Linked DNA regions of Elephas maximus indicus. The protein of the gene in region 1 purifies or fractionates together with the protein of each later gene. This does not show direct contact. Links are inferred from orthologs where the notes say so. Each region holds a gene or a part of one and is shown on either strand. Other genes may lie near its edges.

Region 1 (8,009 bases):
TCCCCTTCCCCTTCTGCCTCCATGTGACTGCGGCGGGGTGGGGGGTAGTCCTTGACCAAGGAGAGGAGGGCAGAGAGAGGCGTCTCAGAGTCCCACTGACCCGTCCACTTCTGGGGGATCACAGATCGCAGTCCACCCCTGACCCTGAGGAGCAGAGGCAGAAAGCAGCCGGGTCAGAGGAAGCCGTATGAGATGCAGCCGTAAGCTCATTTTTTTTTTTCTTTTTTTATCTTGACTTGACACTCAGGACCGTTCAAGACTTAAAATTAAAAAAAAAAAAAAAAAAAGTTATCTATTTTATGGGCTTCTTCCTGTTTTTTTTTTTTTTTTTTTTTTTTTGGTAAGCATCTCCTGGATTCCACTTCCTAATCGCGCGGGACATGGGACTCAACCACCGACTGATTTTGATTAAAAAAGAAAAGAAAACTGTCAGACGGCTGCGAGGCCTCTTCTGCACTTCTGTCACTCCTGGTAAAGCGGAATGGTCACCGGTCCGGTTCTGTCGCGTCCCTCAGGTGGACAGTCACCCTACTGCAGACACCCCTAGGGTCTGAGCATCCTCCTACCCGCCAGTCTTTACAAACGAACATATTACGCCCGCAGCCCGACTCTCCTTATTACTTGGAAAAGCAAGCGCTATGGGCGGGAACCGGGGGCTGGCTCCGCACCGCCTCGGACCGGGCGTCCACATTCCGCACCCTGGGAGGTCCGCAGTGGTGGGAAGCGTTGAGTGCGCGCCTTCTCGAAGCCTTACGGTAAGCGCGGAGCGCAGAGCAACCACGTGGCCGCGGCCCTAGGGCCGGGCGAGAATCCGCGGAATGTGCCGCGCGTCCTCGCACCGCTGGGAGCCCCGGCCCAGGTCAGGGCGCGCGCCCCCCGCCCTAGCCGGGCCTCCCCTTGGCCCTGGCCCCGGGCACACGCGGGCACCCGGTGGGTTTGGGGGACGGAGCGCGGCCCAACTGGCCCCTGGGATCCCGTGCGCCTAAATCCCCTAGTCAGTCGCGACCCCGGTCCCTCCACAAAGCCCCCGACGGCTCGGGTTCGAGGGTCCCCGGGGAAGGGGTACCGGAAGCTAGGTTTGAGCCCCATTCCCCCAAGCCTGCGAAAAAGGCTCCGTCCTCCTCCTCTTCGCCCCCCCTCCCCGGCAAGTATCGGGAGTTCTAGAACTCGGAGTCTCCCCACCGGAGACCCCGGCCGTCCCACCCACCCCCAGGGCCAAGGCGAAGCGTAGAAACGCTTTCTGGAGGGATCCACAGGGGGAAGCCGGCTAGAAAGGCGGGGGGTACGTCCCCGCGGAAGATCCTCGAGAAAGGGCGGGGGAGGGCAGGTGACAGGCCCCGGGGCGCGGGAGGGACGTCCTGCTCCCGCGGGGCCAGGGCGCGTGGGAGCCGACGACGGTCTCAGCGTGGTCCCGCCGCCTGCAAAGCCGCAGCCCCAGGCTCCGTGGCCCCGCTGGTCCTGGAGCGGCCCCGCGAGCCCTCGCACCGGCAGAAGCCCTCTCAGACATCCAGGGGCACGTGGCCTCTGAAGTCATAGCCCCCATCCCCGCCCGAGTTCTCCGCCTTGGCTGGAGAGGCTTTCTTCTACACCTGGGCGCCCACTCCCCACTGGGAGCTTGAGCCGGCAGGCCGGAAAATACTGAACTTTGGGGTTCATTTTGCTCAGGGCACCAGGCAACGCGTTTTGAGTGGGCGAGGATCAAGGGGATAGAATCTTCTTTCAACTTCAAGAGTTGCACCTCCTCCCTCGCAATCCCAAAAGCGTCTTTGGGTCCAGGGCCCCACTACTGTTGGGGTTTTTAAGTCCTGCGCCCACTTCGCCCGCGTCCGTAGGGGCAGGCAGTGTCCCAGCCCCGCCGCCGGACGTCTAGGGGCGGGGGGAGCCTGTGTGTGGCTTAAATTAAGGGATCGCTGATGGGGGCGGCGTGGGGTGCGGCCGCCCCCGTCCCAAGCTGCTGGCTACCCCAAGTGGGCGCCGAGGCTCGGGTGCGCTGGGCGGGCAGCTTTGGGGCACGCGCAGTCGGCGCCGCGGAGCCCTTGCGGAGCTGCTGAGCACGTGGCTCTCGGTGCGCGCCCCAAAAGCTAGCAGCGTGGGGGCAGGGGAGCCCAAGCGCCCCCGGAACCCCGCGGCCCGCCTTCGGAAGCGCTTTCCAGTGCGACTTAAGGGCTTAACAATGGAAAACTCGCGGTGCTGGAGCCAAGTCCTTTCAAGTCGCCGCCAGGTATGCGGCTGCAGGTGACCCCACCTGGGTGCGCCCGGTCGCCGTCCTCCCGTGGGGAGGAGGGGAGTGCGGGTGCCGTAGGGCGACGCCAGCGGAAGGTCGCCCCTCTGGCCGCAGCCCCCTCGGGAGAGCCCCCTGCTCAGGCAGCGCGCAGCCGCGGTGGGACCTGGGTCGGCTCCGCGGCGCGCGGGTTCCTGAATGAACGCGTTCCCTTCCCCCTTTGAATGAAGGTTCCCACAGCCAGGGACGGTGGCAAACGCGCGCCGCAGCGGAATGCGCCCTCTCGGGCCAGCGATCCGCCCGGCCGCTGCCACCGCCCAGGGGACCGAGGCGAGGGAGGTGGGGATGGGGGTTCCAGTAACTTAGGGTTTCCTTTCACACGAACGCGGTTTCCCTCCGAATTGGGCCACCCGACCTTTGTCTCCAAGTGGTCCCACGCAATCCACGCGGAGCGCTTTAAACGAGCTCGGAATGCGCAGTGTCGGCGGCGTGGTGGGTTTTACAAACAGTGCCAAATGAAAGCGGCAACGGAAAAGTGCTGAAAAGTTGCTTTACTCTGCAAAATAAAAAAAAATCAAAATGCGTCTTCTGCTCTGTTAGCAGCAATTAACCTCATGGGGCCGGGCGGTGGGTTTCCTCGGGAGCTAGGGGGCCGCCAGGCTGGGCTCTCCCGGCGGGGGCTGGGCGCCGGGCGCTCCCCGCGGGGCCCCAAATTCCTGCGCCTCCCCCACCGGTTCCTGGACGGCTCTACACGCCCGCCGGCCGGGCTTGCACTTTTGCGCCCGTCCCTGAGCCGGGAAATCAACAAAGTTCCTCCTCGAGATCTGCCCGGCCCGCCTAGTAACAGCGCCGCGCCCCCATTGGCTCATGCTAATTCCAGTTTCCTCTCTTTCTCGCCGTGGGGGGGCAGCTCCCTCCTGATCCCGGAGCCCGAGTGGCCGGGGTGGGCGATCCTCCTTATGCCCTGCTGCCCCTCGCCAACGTCGGCGACTCGCGCCTCTGGCCGGGCCGGGGCGCACACCGGGGCGCGAGCCCCTGGACCCTCGAGGCCCTGCCGCCGGTGAGGGCGCGCAGCCCCATAAATCATCGGGCGGCCGCCCGGTCGGGAATTTATGAATGAAAAGCTGCCTGGCCGCCCTCGTGCGCCGGCGGAGGCTGCTGAGGCTACGCCGTGCCCGGGGTCGGCCGGGGCGTGGGTACCCGGGGAGGGCGCATGGCGGTGGGCGCGTCCTGCCCGGTCACCCATCGCCTCGGGGGCTGTGACCCTCCCAGACCCGGAATATTAGCCGCCCTCATTCCGGCGGGGGATGGGGCGCGGGAGGAATCCCCCCTGTCCCCTGGCGGGGGGCGTCTTCATTCGCAGCGTGCGCCCTTTCCACCCGGAGGGCTATCTAAAAATCCGTTTTCTTTTGCGCCTTTACTGTTAGGGGAGTCGGTGGTTTTTAGGACATTAAACTAGGTTCAAAGAGACGTAAATGAACAGTTTTCTAAAGTGGGGACAGGTAGTGTAAAAACAAACAAAAAAAAGTTAAGAATGGGTAAAATAGCCTTTTATTTAAAAAAAAAAAGAAAAAACACACCAAAAAGCCAATCTCCATTTAATAAAAATACCGTATATATTTTTGTGTGTCTTTCTTAAATTTAAGTTAATATTAGGGACCCGATCCTATTACCACGATCACATATAGATTTTGTTTAAAATCATCTGTTCAAGCACCCATTTCTCTCACTTTCAATTGTTCTAATTCTTGCCAGCCCCCTGGCGCTCACAAGCGCAGCCCCAGGGCAAGTTCGAAAGGTGAAGAGACGTTCACAACCCCGGCAAAACCGTGTAGGAAGCTTCCGGTGGTCTCGTCCCAGGCAGAGAGGAGGCTAATATTTCCAGCAATTTAATTTCTTTTTTAATTAAAAAGTGAGGCGGGACAGACCTCTGTTTCGCAGCCTTCCATTCCAAGGTGTTTTTCCGCTGTTGAAATGCCGGGACTGGGGGAGGGGACACTTGGGGACCCCTGCAAGGATGTACTTGCCAAGGTAGGAGGACAGTCCGCGGATCCCTCAGGCGAGCAGGACAGGATGATGGAAATGCTGGCCACCATCTTGGGCTGCTTCTGGAATTTTCGGGGATTTATTTTATTTTATTTTTTGAGCGAGCCTGTGCTGGGCTGAAGCCCCTTTTAACGTTTAGGGTTACCCCCTCGGGCATTTCCAATGACCCCCCCGTGGGCCGGAATGAAGGTGCCACCAGGGTCCTATGCTCTGCCCCGCGTCCCCGCCTGTTAAACAGTTCCTGAAATTTACACGTGTTAATGAAAATGAAAGAAAAGGCAGAAGCTGTGATTCCTTCCTTGGCCGTCCCTCCGCCCGTGGGTGACCTCGTGGCGTTCTCGGAAATGTGCCCATTCTCCCGGCTCGGATATAGGGTGTCGCCGAGCCCCAGCGTCCCCCCTCCATGCGGTCTCCCCAGGCTCCGTGTGGCCTGCCCGCCCTCTTCGTTGTCCCCTTCTGCAACGCCCCCTCCCCAAATCCCCGGGGACCACTTGGAGGGAACCGGGCCCCCCTGCACCCCTCTTCCCCCGCGGGGAGAAAGGCCGCGGCGGGGCGATTTGCATTTCTATGAAAACCCGGCTTCGGGGGGAACTCCGCCGCGGGGCAGGAGCGGCGCCTCTGGGATGCCTTTTGGGCTCTGCCCCTCGCTGCTCCCCGGCTCTCGGCCCGCGCCCCCTCCCCCTGCGCCCGCCCCGCCCCCCCGCTCCCATTCTCTGCCCGGCTTTGATCTCTGCTTAACAACAGTAACGTCACAAGGACTACAGGGGAGTTTTGTTGGAAGTTGCAAAGTCCTGGAGCCTCCAGAGGGCTGTCGGCGCAGTAGCAGCGAGCAGCAGCGGCCGCGCGCTCCTGCGAGGGGCAGACGAGGGCGAGAGAGCGCGGGGCAGCGGGAGGAGCGAGGCCGAGCTCGCGGACCGAGCGGGAGCCCGAGCCTGAGCCCAGCCGACCGCCTTCTCCGCCGCCCAGCCCAGCCGCCGGCATGGAGCACCAGCTCCTGTGCTGCGAGGTGGAGACCATCCGCCGCGCGTACCCCGATGCCAACCTTCTCAACGACCGGGTGCTGCAGGCCATGCTCAAGGCCGAAGAGACCTGCGCGCCCTCGGTGTCCTACTTCAAGTGCGTGCAGAAGGAGATACTGCCGTCCATGCGCAAGATCGTGGCCACCTGGATGCTGGAGGTGCGTGGCGCCGGGCCGCCCTTTGGGGACTTTCTGCAACTTGTTGCCTAAGCCCAGATTGCTTTGCCTCTCATCTCTCCCTTCTTTCACCCTCACCCCAACTTTCCAGTTCGCCGAGGGTTGCTAGGAATCTGTCTTTTCCAAAGAAATAGATATTGTGGGTATTTTTTTTTTTTTTTAACCAGGAAAAAATGGGGATGGGGGTGGGGGCGTTCGAAACTCCCTTTCCTACGGGGTGGAGGGCTCGAGGAGGGGTGCCTTCGGAGAAGCGAGTGGCGGGGGCACCCGAATAAGCCGAAAGGTGCGGGTCGGCAGGCTGGGGGCGCCTTTGGTGGCCCCCTCCCGGCCGCCACCGCCGCGCAGCCCCCGCCTGCGTCCGCGCCTATCTGCGCCTCCTCTCCCGGCCGCTGCGGCCCGGGGCGCCAGCCCCGGGGGGAGGGGGTATCGATTTGATTTTTAAATTAATATCCATGGACACGTATGCAAGGGCCACTCGTGCCAGTATTATGCGCCATCTTTGTTCTTTTATTGCAAAGCAAAAGTGTTTATTAATAATTGGGGGGAGGGTGGGGGCGGGGAGCGGCCGGCGAGGCGCTGGGGCCGCGGCGAGGGGCCGCCCGGCTGCCGGGAGCCAGGCGGGAGGGGTGCGGGAACAGGGTGTGGGCATTTCTGGGGGGACCCCGCTTGGGAAGTGTGGCCCCTTTGTTCAAGCAGCGACCCCTGGGGCTCCCTGCACCGCCAGCTGGCCCGGAGAGCACGCCGGGCTGCAAGGTCGCGTGGCCCCCAAGACACCAGGAATTGGCCCCCGTCTGCGAGGGGCTTGGCTTGGGGGGGCCTGCCCAGAGTCATCCGGGTGTCCGGGGCACATTTTCAGGCCTGCGGTGGGCGTCTGGGGGGACCGCGAGTATTTTAAAATAATTTTTGAAAGTGCGGCGTGGTGCCCTTGCGAGAGGGAAACGGCGCCCGCGCCCAGGGGGAAGGGGTGCCCCCGAGTTTCAGTCCCTGGGGCGCTCCCTGGAGCCTGTAGTGAGCTCCAGAGCCCCGGCCTAGGTAAAGGGCCGTCCGGGGATCGTTTTCAGGGATTTTTTGTGCGCCCACTTATTTTTTTTATATTTTTAAATATTTTTTGAAAAGATGACGTCTGGGGAAATGCGGCGCTGCGGCCTGGGACGCCACCTTTGTGTCTCGCAGGCGGGGCGAGCGCGGCGCCCAACCCCGTGGTCCAGCCCCGCGGCCCCGCGGCCCATTTGGTGCGGGCTCCCAGCCAGAAGGACCCCCAGAGCCCCCAGGTGGGCTGGGGTCTCCCGGCCGCACCGCTGCCCGCGGTGCCCACTCCCGCCCCCACCGTGCCAGCCGCGCGGGACTTTCCCTTTCAGTTTCGGAGGTGGATGGGTGCTGGGGGCGCGCGGGGGTGGGGACGCGTCATCGGAGGCTCAAGCCACCCCCTGCCCGGTGCCTCCCCGCGCTCCGGCGCCGCAGCCCCGGCGCGCGCGGGGTGGGCGTGCGGAGACGTCGGGCGGGGGTCCCGCGCCCCCAGCGGCGGTGGTCACGGCCCCCCTGCCCCTGCAGGTCTGCGAGGAGCAGAAGTGCGAGGAGGAGGTCTTCCCGCTGGCCATGAACTATCTGGACCGCTTCCTGTCCCTGGAGCCGGTGAAGAAGAGCCGCCTGCAGCTGCTGGGGGCCACCTGCATGTTCGTGGCCTCCAAGATGAAGGAGACCATCCCCCTGACGGCCGAGAAGCTGTGCATCTACACAGACAACTCCATCCGACCCGACGAGCTGCTGGTAACCGGGGGACCCCCACGGCCCCCAGGCACCCCGTTTGTTACAGGATCCCAGGGATGGGGGCGCGGGTCGCGGGGAGGCCCAGCCAGACGCTGACAGATCCTCGGGCCTGAGGGAGGGCGGCCACACCGCTCCGGGGCAGGGGGGAGGCCAGGAACAGCAGGCGGCAGTTATCCGGGCCGCCCCCCCATCTCGGCGCCCGCCGCCCCACATCCCACTTTCGACCACGTTTGCACCCCGGAGCGAGGGCGAAAAGTGGACGGCGCGCGCCCTCTAGCGGTGGCGGCGCGCTCAGGGCGCCCGCGCTAATTAATAAGGCCTTTGGTTGCAGATGGTGGGAGGTCTTTTTGTCTCCACTTGTGAACAGTCGGCTTAATGACAATGAGCACGGGGGCCTTTTCACGCGGCACCTTCTCTGTTTTGATCCGGAATTGCGGGTCGTCTGTCCCCCTCGCCCTACTTCCTGAACCCCTCAACAGGCCACATCCCTCCTTCCCACCCTCTGCCCTGCTCCTGGCCGGCATCCCAGGCCCCCCAGGGCTGACCCTGCACCTCTTTCTCTCTCTCTCTTTCTCTGTCTCTCTGCCCGCTTCATCTCCCCAGCACATGGAGCTGCTTCTGGTGAACAAGCTCAAGTGGAACCTGGCTGCCATGACCCCCCACGATTTCATCGAACACTTCCTGTCCAAGATGCCCGTGGCCCAGGAGAACAAGCAGATTATCCGAAAACACGCCCAGACCTTCGTGGCGCTCTGTGCCACAGGTAGGTAGGGTGGCGGG
Region 2 (7,477 bases), on another chromosome or scaffold:
TTCCATGAACTATAAAGGATAGAGCAGGATAAAGCTTATTTGAAGATATGGACATTGAAGCTAAAAATAGTCTCAAAGGGTTTCAAAGTAAAAAAAAAAAAAAAAACACTTCGTTAGATACACCAATCCAGAGCTATTTCTCCAACACCTTCTATTTTCCTAAAAAAAAAATCTTGCTTATCATAGAATCACCTGACCAATCCGTCAAAGTCTCCTCAGAACCAGAACTTAGTTTCAGAACATACCTCCTCAAATATCCTTCTGATTCTTGTGGTGTGTTGAATTAATGTTCACATCCCATATTACAATTCCTTGGTAATAGAGTTCTGGAGTAGCACCATTGCAAGGCTTTCTTTGGTTCTAATGAAGTAGTGTCTATGACACTAGTGCTATAGTGTCATGGTCTCTACACTCAGCTCTGTCCTTCGGGCCAGTGAAAAGGCTCTGTCTGAGTCCTACTCAGGCACACTGTCATTTCCTCTTAAGGTATTCCAAACCTTCATGACTCTCAAATTTCTTAACCCACCATCTTGTCCTCACTCTTTCCAAACAAGCCAGCCTCCTCATTAATGGAAGGAATTACCTCAACTTCCTTCCTGCCTTGACCCTTTTTCCCTCTTCAGATCTGTCTTTATCCAAATTTATGACGTCCCTGTGCATTGGATTCCATTTCTTATACCTTTCAGGACCTCAGGTCCTATTTCTCTTTTGTCTCTTCTAACTGTTCTTTCACTTCACCTGGCATGTTCCTTCATTGTATGTGTGTCCTCAGGTCTCTTCCACCTTCCATCTGCTTCCCTTCACCGTATATCACCTTGAGCTTTGACGGCCAAACTATGAAAGAATAGTCTACACCAGGTGTCCCCACTTCCTTGCTGTCACATTCACTCCTGGATTTCCTTCTGACTCTGAGTAGCCCTTGTCAGCTTCTTTTGCAGAAGCTTCTTTTTCCAGCTTCTCACTGTATATTCCAGTGAATTACGTCCAGTTTTCCTAAACTTCTATGCCTTTGCATCTGTTCTTGCCTCTGCCAGGAACATCTTTCTCCATCTTTCCTTTCCATCTTTACACTCCCATGCTTTTCTTCAAGTTGGGGTTAGCTCTCATACTGTCCAGGAAGCCTTTCACCTAAGCCACCAGGATGAATTTGGCTCCCTTTTCATTTTCTTGTGTCACCCTCTGCTTCCCTTTGCTCTTGTAAGTGCTTTACATATTATGTCCCATTTAATTCACACAACCACCATTTGAGGCAAGCATGATTATCATCCCCATTTTAGAGATGAGGATACTGAGCACCAAAGACATTAAATAATTTGTTCAGTTAGAAAACTAATAGGTGGAAATATCTAGGTTTAAATCTAGGCAATTTGACTGTAGGGTTGAATTTAACCACCTATGCTCTACTGTTAGCCTCTGAGCTTGTTGGATGAATAAATAAGTAGTAATTTATGTTCTATTTTTTTCTTAAAAGACTGATCAGATTTGAGACAGGTTTAAATTTCATAATATAGATTTTCAAGACTGCCAAGACAGCAGAAATGGAGACCATGGCATTCTCAGGGAAGAGGAGAGGTAAGTGTAAGGTTAATAATAATAACAAACTTTAGAACTTAGAAAGCTCTTTGACATCTATCATCTTGTTCCATGCACCCAAGAAATATATCATGATCCCATTTTACAGATAAGAAATCTGAGGCTGGCAGAACCAGCACCAAGATCCCTGGCTTTATAGTTTATTTCTTCTGGAGTTTTACCCCTCAGGTCTGAACTGATATGAGTAAGTAAACTGGGAGTATGGAAGGTTTTTTAAGGAAAAAAAAAACTGGAAGAGCTTTCACAGTATTATTATTTATTTACACAGATTTATGATAGATACAGGACCAATTTCCAGAAAAGGGCCACACCCAAGAATGCCACAGTCTTTCAGGAGCTCCGATGCAAGTGCCTGAGCTAGTGAACACACATCTAAAACCTGCTGTTGGTATTTCCAAAGCATCAACCTCTATGTCTGTATATAATTCATCCAAGAAATATTTTTGTGTTTCCATCTCATGCTTCCTTCTCCAATACATTGCCTTCTCACAAGAGCTAAAGGGATTCTTGACGTGGCAGTCCATAGTTGAGTTTTAGATGAATACCTGAATTCCCTGAAAGTTTTATTCAGAAATATACTTGCCAGTGAACACACTTGGTTTGAGGTTGGTTGGTTTTCATTGCATACTTTATTTATTTTTTTGAGGATAATGTCTGTAGCTTTCAAGAGATTCTCAAACGGAAGATTAAGAACCATTATATTAGTGATGGAAGCAAATTTTGATATTGGTCTAAAAGCCAGGCATAATTACAAGGGAAATCTGTTCCATCTCTCCCATCACAGCCATATTGCCCCCCTCCCATCATAAAATGTAAAAGGAGCCCTGGTGGCACAGTGCTTAATCACTCAGCTGCTAACCAAAGATGTGGCAGTCTGCTTTGGTAAAGATTCACAGCCTTGGGAATTCTGGCAGTTCTCATAGTCACTATAAGTCAGAATCCACTTGACCGCAACAGGTTTTACCATAAAAAGTCTTAAGCTAACTTAAAAAGAATATTAGATTCCTTATCCATAGTTTGAATTGTTCAAACCATTGCTGCCCAGTATTTGAGAGGTGCCTGGAGGAAAATATAGAAGGCACAGTAGTAATACGTTATGGATTCTTATAAGAGATTTGACAATAAATGTTTAATTGGCATAATTTAAAAACTACATTTTGCCTGACCTAGCAACAACTGAAGGTACAGCAAGGTATTCTGGGGCTTAAGATAAGTCAGCTAAGGATTAAAACGTTAACTTTTAGACAGAGCCGGGTTACCTAGTAGTCAGACTCAGTATGTGCTCAAGGCACCAGCAGGTAACCCATACAATTTTTAAATGTAATATATATATTTTTAAGAGCATAAAAGTAATAATCACGGGAAAAATTAGAACTCTGTTGGATTTCCTTTCGCTTACTAAATTCCTTAGATGCACCATCATGTTTTCTGTGATTAAGGTCTTCTTGGTCTTCCTTCTCTTTTATATAATATTGATAATTCTATCCAAAATATTTTCTTCTCTCTGCCTCAGGAGATTGCAAGCAAATCCTCCAAATGGATAATTTGATAGCTAGCAGGTATTGTGTGCTTGGGATGTGTATCACTGTTCCAAATGCTATATGTAAATCAGGACATTAAAAATTCACAACAGCCCTGTGAAGTAAGTACTACTCTAAGTTCCCCTTTTTATAGCTAAGAAAAGGGCAAGGTATTTCTAGGAGGAAGGAGAGGTGTGGGACGCTGGAAGCAGACCCAGGAGGGGCCCCAGTACAGTGTATCTGAGCCTGTACCGTGATGCACTGTGTCAGTCTCTAGACAGCTGAGCACTTTCTCTGGTCTAGAAGGAACGCCTTATTAAGAATGGGGTCTGTCACCCGAATGACTTCCTCTCCACTTTCCTATCTGCTTATAGGTGGGACTCTTTCCAGTCCGTGTTAAATAGACCCTACCTTCAGAGCCAGCCCTAACTGGCATATCCTGTTCGTATATCTGGCGCTAGTAGGAGGCTTTGCTCACCTCTTGGAAACCCTCGCCCCAGCCACGTGGGTGGGGAGAGGGGAGCAGGCAACCGTTAGACTCTGAAAAAGGAATCTTTGAAGTACGTTTTCTGGAACCATAGGCTCAGAACGCTTAACCCAGGGAGTATCTGGGGAAGAGGGAGGTGTGATTCGGTGATCTAAAAGAAGGGTCGCCTCAGAGTCACAACACCGGGATTACCGATCCTCAGTGAGGCCCTTATTACGAGGAGAGGACAGCTTTGGCCAATTCATCCGAGTACTTACTATAGGGAGGAAGCAATACTTTGCCTATGATATCGAACGCTCAGGTTCGAGCTTGACAGTCAGAAATCCCTGCCCAGCTATCTAAATACTAGGAGAGTGTAGAGAGAAGGGAGGAACCTGGGAGAAATTCCGTTTAGCTTTAGTAGAGGGAACTCGCTTAGAGACTCCTGTGCTCTTCCGTTGGATCGGGGGAGGGGACAGCACCGTGAGGGTGGGGCGACAGGAGGACGGGGGCGGTAGGGGGGCGAGGAGGGGCGCAGGGCTCCCAGCTCCGGCGGCGTCCGCGTGCTCCGGGAGTGGACCGCTTCCGGGCAGGTCTCGCTTCTCGGGGAGCCGAAGGCCGTGCGGCCAGCCGCCGCGTGGGGCGACCTCGGGGCACCTCCGTGGCGTGCTCTAGTGTCCTTGGAGGACACCACGTGATCGGCGCCCCTAGAAGTGGAAAGACGCGGTGGCCCCGCCGGAGGGGTGGGGAGACCGATTCAGGGGGCCGCGGCGCGGGGGCTCGGGCAGCCGGTTTCCGCCCGCCCGGCGGAGGGAAGCGAGGGGCGGGCCAGTCACGAGAGGGCGGGCCGGGCGCTAGGCGGCGGCGGGAGGAAGGGGACGAGGGGACAAGGGAGCGAGGCGCGGGGAGCGGCATGGAGCCCACCGCCGACTCGCTGGCCACGGCGGCCGCCCGAGGCCGGGCCCGGGAGGTGCGGGCGCTGCTGCGGGCGGGGGCGCAGCCTAACGCGCCGAACCGCTACGGGCGCCGCCCGATCCAGGTAGGTAGCAGGTCCCGAGCGGGAGAAGGTGATGGCGGGCTGCTCGGGAGGACGACGGTTGCAGGGGAATGGGAACCGGGTGGCGTTTGGATTCTCGGAAAAGGGGCGATTTCCCGGGACGTTTTCAGAAAAGATTTTGGGGTCGGAGACCTCGTGACGACGCCCCGGGGCCTCGGGAAGCCCCGGAGGGAAGGAGGGGGCACTTGGGGTGCACATCTCTGGAGTGGTGTGACTATAAGAATCTGGCGGGGGGAACATATACATGTGTGTTCATATAAAAAAAAAAAAAAACCAACCCGTATAGACCGAGGTATATTCCAGATACAGAATCTATGAATGAGATAAAACGCGAGATTTTAAAGAAATGTAAGGTTCACTGGGACTATGTAGCCCCAAACTCACAGACCCCTGAATAAAGCTGATCACCTTCTTTCCTGGAGGGACTCCGCTGGAAACCTACTGGCACGTATGTTGGAATAAATGCCGACTGAAATTATTCAGAAACAACTGCATATCGTGTTGATTTTTATTTTAACTGAGTAGGGGGAAAATGTATTCATGTAAAGAACTTAGGACTGAGTAGGGAAACTGCTCGTTGTAAAAAAAATCTTACGACATCCAGGCCTATATAAAAAAAAAAATGTTTTTTAGTGTGATCTTGCCTAAGACAATATTTCCAATTTAGTTACCATCTTAAGAGTATTTGCTATTATTTTTGTCATTTTAACTTACTTGATATGGATTATTTTACTTGGGAGAGAGTTTTCAATTTTTCACTGCTGGAAGGTTCCATTTTTCTCCTCCCCCTCCCTTGTGTGTGAAGGGGGAGGGGGGACCAGGGAAGGTTGCATGTGTTTTTTCTTCACTAACTTCCTAAATATCATGCCAAAAAGTTAATTCTTGCTGGCGGTTACCAGCCTAATTTTATTCCCAGCGGCAACAACGATCTCTGATTCTGAAAAAGAGAATATGTGAAACAAATGCACATTGTAAAAGCTTCATAAGACAAAGGAAAGTAACTGCGTCAGACTTCATGAGTGAATCTTTCCTTCTTGAACCTATCCTACAAAGGATATATATTTTACACACTTTAAAGTACAGTGCAAAAAAAAAGTACAGATATAAGAATAAAATTAAAAATGCCTTAAAACTTGAGATTTTGGGGTCCTGAAATGGCAAGAGATCTTGAAACTAGAGGGGCTGGATAGTTGTAAAAGATAAGTATGAGTCCTTCAAAAAGAATGTTTGATTCGTAATTTAGCATCTCCAAGATTTTGCCAGCAACCTGGAGACTCGGAGTGATGGCCTTAGAGTCCTGGAATACGTTAGGCGAGACCTCATCTGTTTAGATACAGAAAGGAAAAAGAAAGTTGGATAATTACGATTTTTTTATACGGGGATAAGAACATAGAGAAAGGGGCCAAATGAGTTTGATGTAGAACTTCGACCGAATTGTTTTTTAATACAGAATATGTCATTTATAAAAATTCTTTTAAAACAACTAGATTCCAATAAATTGCTTAGCAAATGGATCTTAAGCATCCTACCAATATCGGTTTAATTGATTTGCCTTTTTTGTTTTTGGATTTTTTTTTTTAATATTTAAATGCCCAGTTGCTTTTCAGTTTTTTTCTTATGTTAAAATATAAGGAAAACATTCAAGACCAGTTTTTTTTTGTAGTCCAATTTATTAGGTTAAATTATTTGTGTAGATTTTTTTTAATAACATTTTATTGTGTTCTAGGTGAAAGCTTACACAGCGAATTAGGTCCTCCTTTAACAATGTTTATACAAATTGTTTCATGATACTGGTTACAATTTTCACAATGTATCAGCATTCACCTTATTTCCATTCTGTTTATTCTGTTTACATTGATCGAACTTCCCTTCCTCTCCTTGCCTTCTCATGTTTGCTTTTCAGTAAATGTTGACTGTTTGGTCTCATATAGTTAATTGTTTAAGGGAGCACATTACTCACAGGTGATATTGTTTATTTCATAAGCCAACCTATTTGACTGAAAGTGACCTGCAGAAATAACTGCATTTCCAACTTCAAAGGGTACCTTAGCCCCTGGGGGAGGGGGGACTCCTCTAGACTCTCCATCCAGTAGGTCCAGCCTTTTTTAAGAATTTGAATTTTGTTCTACATTTTTCCCCTGTTCTATCCAGGACCTTCTATTGTATTCCTGGTCACAATGGTTGGTAGCGTAGCCAGGGACCATTTAGTTCTTCTGGTCTCAGGTCAGAAAAAGCTGTAGTTCATGAGGGCTATTAGTTCTGTGGACTAGTTTCTTCTTTGAGCCTTTGATTCCTTCATTCTCTTTTGCTGCATAGAGGAGAGACCAATCATTTGTTTTTAGATTAAGACCAGTTTTATGACAAATGAATGACTTGATTTGGTTGGGTAAACAAAAACTGTGCTGCAATTTTTTTTTTGTGTGGCTGTAATTTGGTTCACATATATTTTCCCTCGTTCTTTTGAAAACTAAATTGGTTTCCCCACTTTTGGGGCAGAACTCAACACCTATAGTATAATTTATTATTTTTCCTCCCTTTGGGCAAATAAAAATAATTTATTTAATTGATACAAAACATAACTAAGTAATTTCTCTTTATACAGTCAGTATCCCCAAGCAAATATAACCAGATAATGGTTATTCTAAAAAGAATCCTCCACCAGCACCCATAACATGGCATCCCAATTCTAAGGCTGCTAAGGTGCACACCATTTTAAAATTCCCCTTTGGAAATTATTTTGTTTCAAAGATAATTTATGTACCAAAGAGACGAGCAGCTCCTGTAGGAGAGTATATGAGTTTCCCATTGCTGCTGTAACAAATTATCACAAATTTATGAACC

The links.
Region 2: the proteins of CCND1 (region 1) and cyclin-dependent kinase inhibitor 2A-like purify together in Homo sapiens (affinity purification with western blotting; 3 studies listed by BioGRID and IntAct, with this or other methods). This does not show direct contact. The link is inferred for Elephas maximus indicus from reciprocal best matches to the Homo sapiens genes CCND1 and CDKN2A.

Annotation. Positions count from the first base shown.
Region 1 is NC_064825.1:132,455,652-132,463,660, forward strand, and holds the start of CCND1 (G1/S-specific cyclin-D1), read left to right. Parts: upstream 1-5,005; 5' UTR 5,006-5,246; coding exon 5,247-5,444; intron 5,445-7,013; coding exon 7,014-7,229; intron 7,230-7,832; coding exon 7,833-7,992; intron 7,993-8,009. UniProt on the Homo sapiens protein: Regulatory component of the cyclin D1-CDK4 (DC) complex that phosphorylates and inhibits members of the retinoblastoma (RB) protein family including RB1 and regulates the cell-cycle during G(1)/S transition.
Region 2 is NC_064827.1:31,844,027-31,851,503, reverse strand, and holds the start of cyclin-dependent kinase inhibitor 2A-like, read left to right. Parts: upstream 1-4,467; 5' UTR 4,468-4,492; coding exon 4,493-4,618; intron 4,619-7,477. UniProt on the Homo sapiens protein: Acts as a negative regulator of the proliferation of normal cells by interacting strongly with CDK4 and CDK6. This inhibits their ability to interact with cyclins D and to phosphorylate the retinoblastoma protein.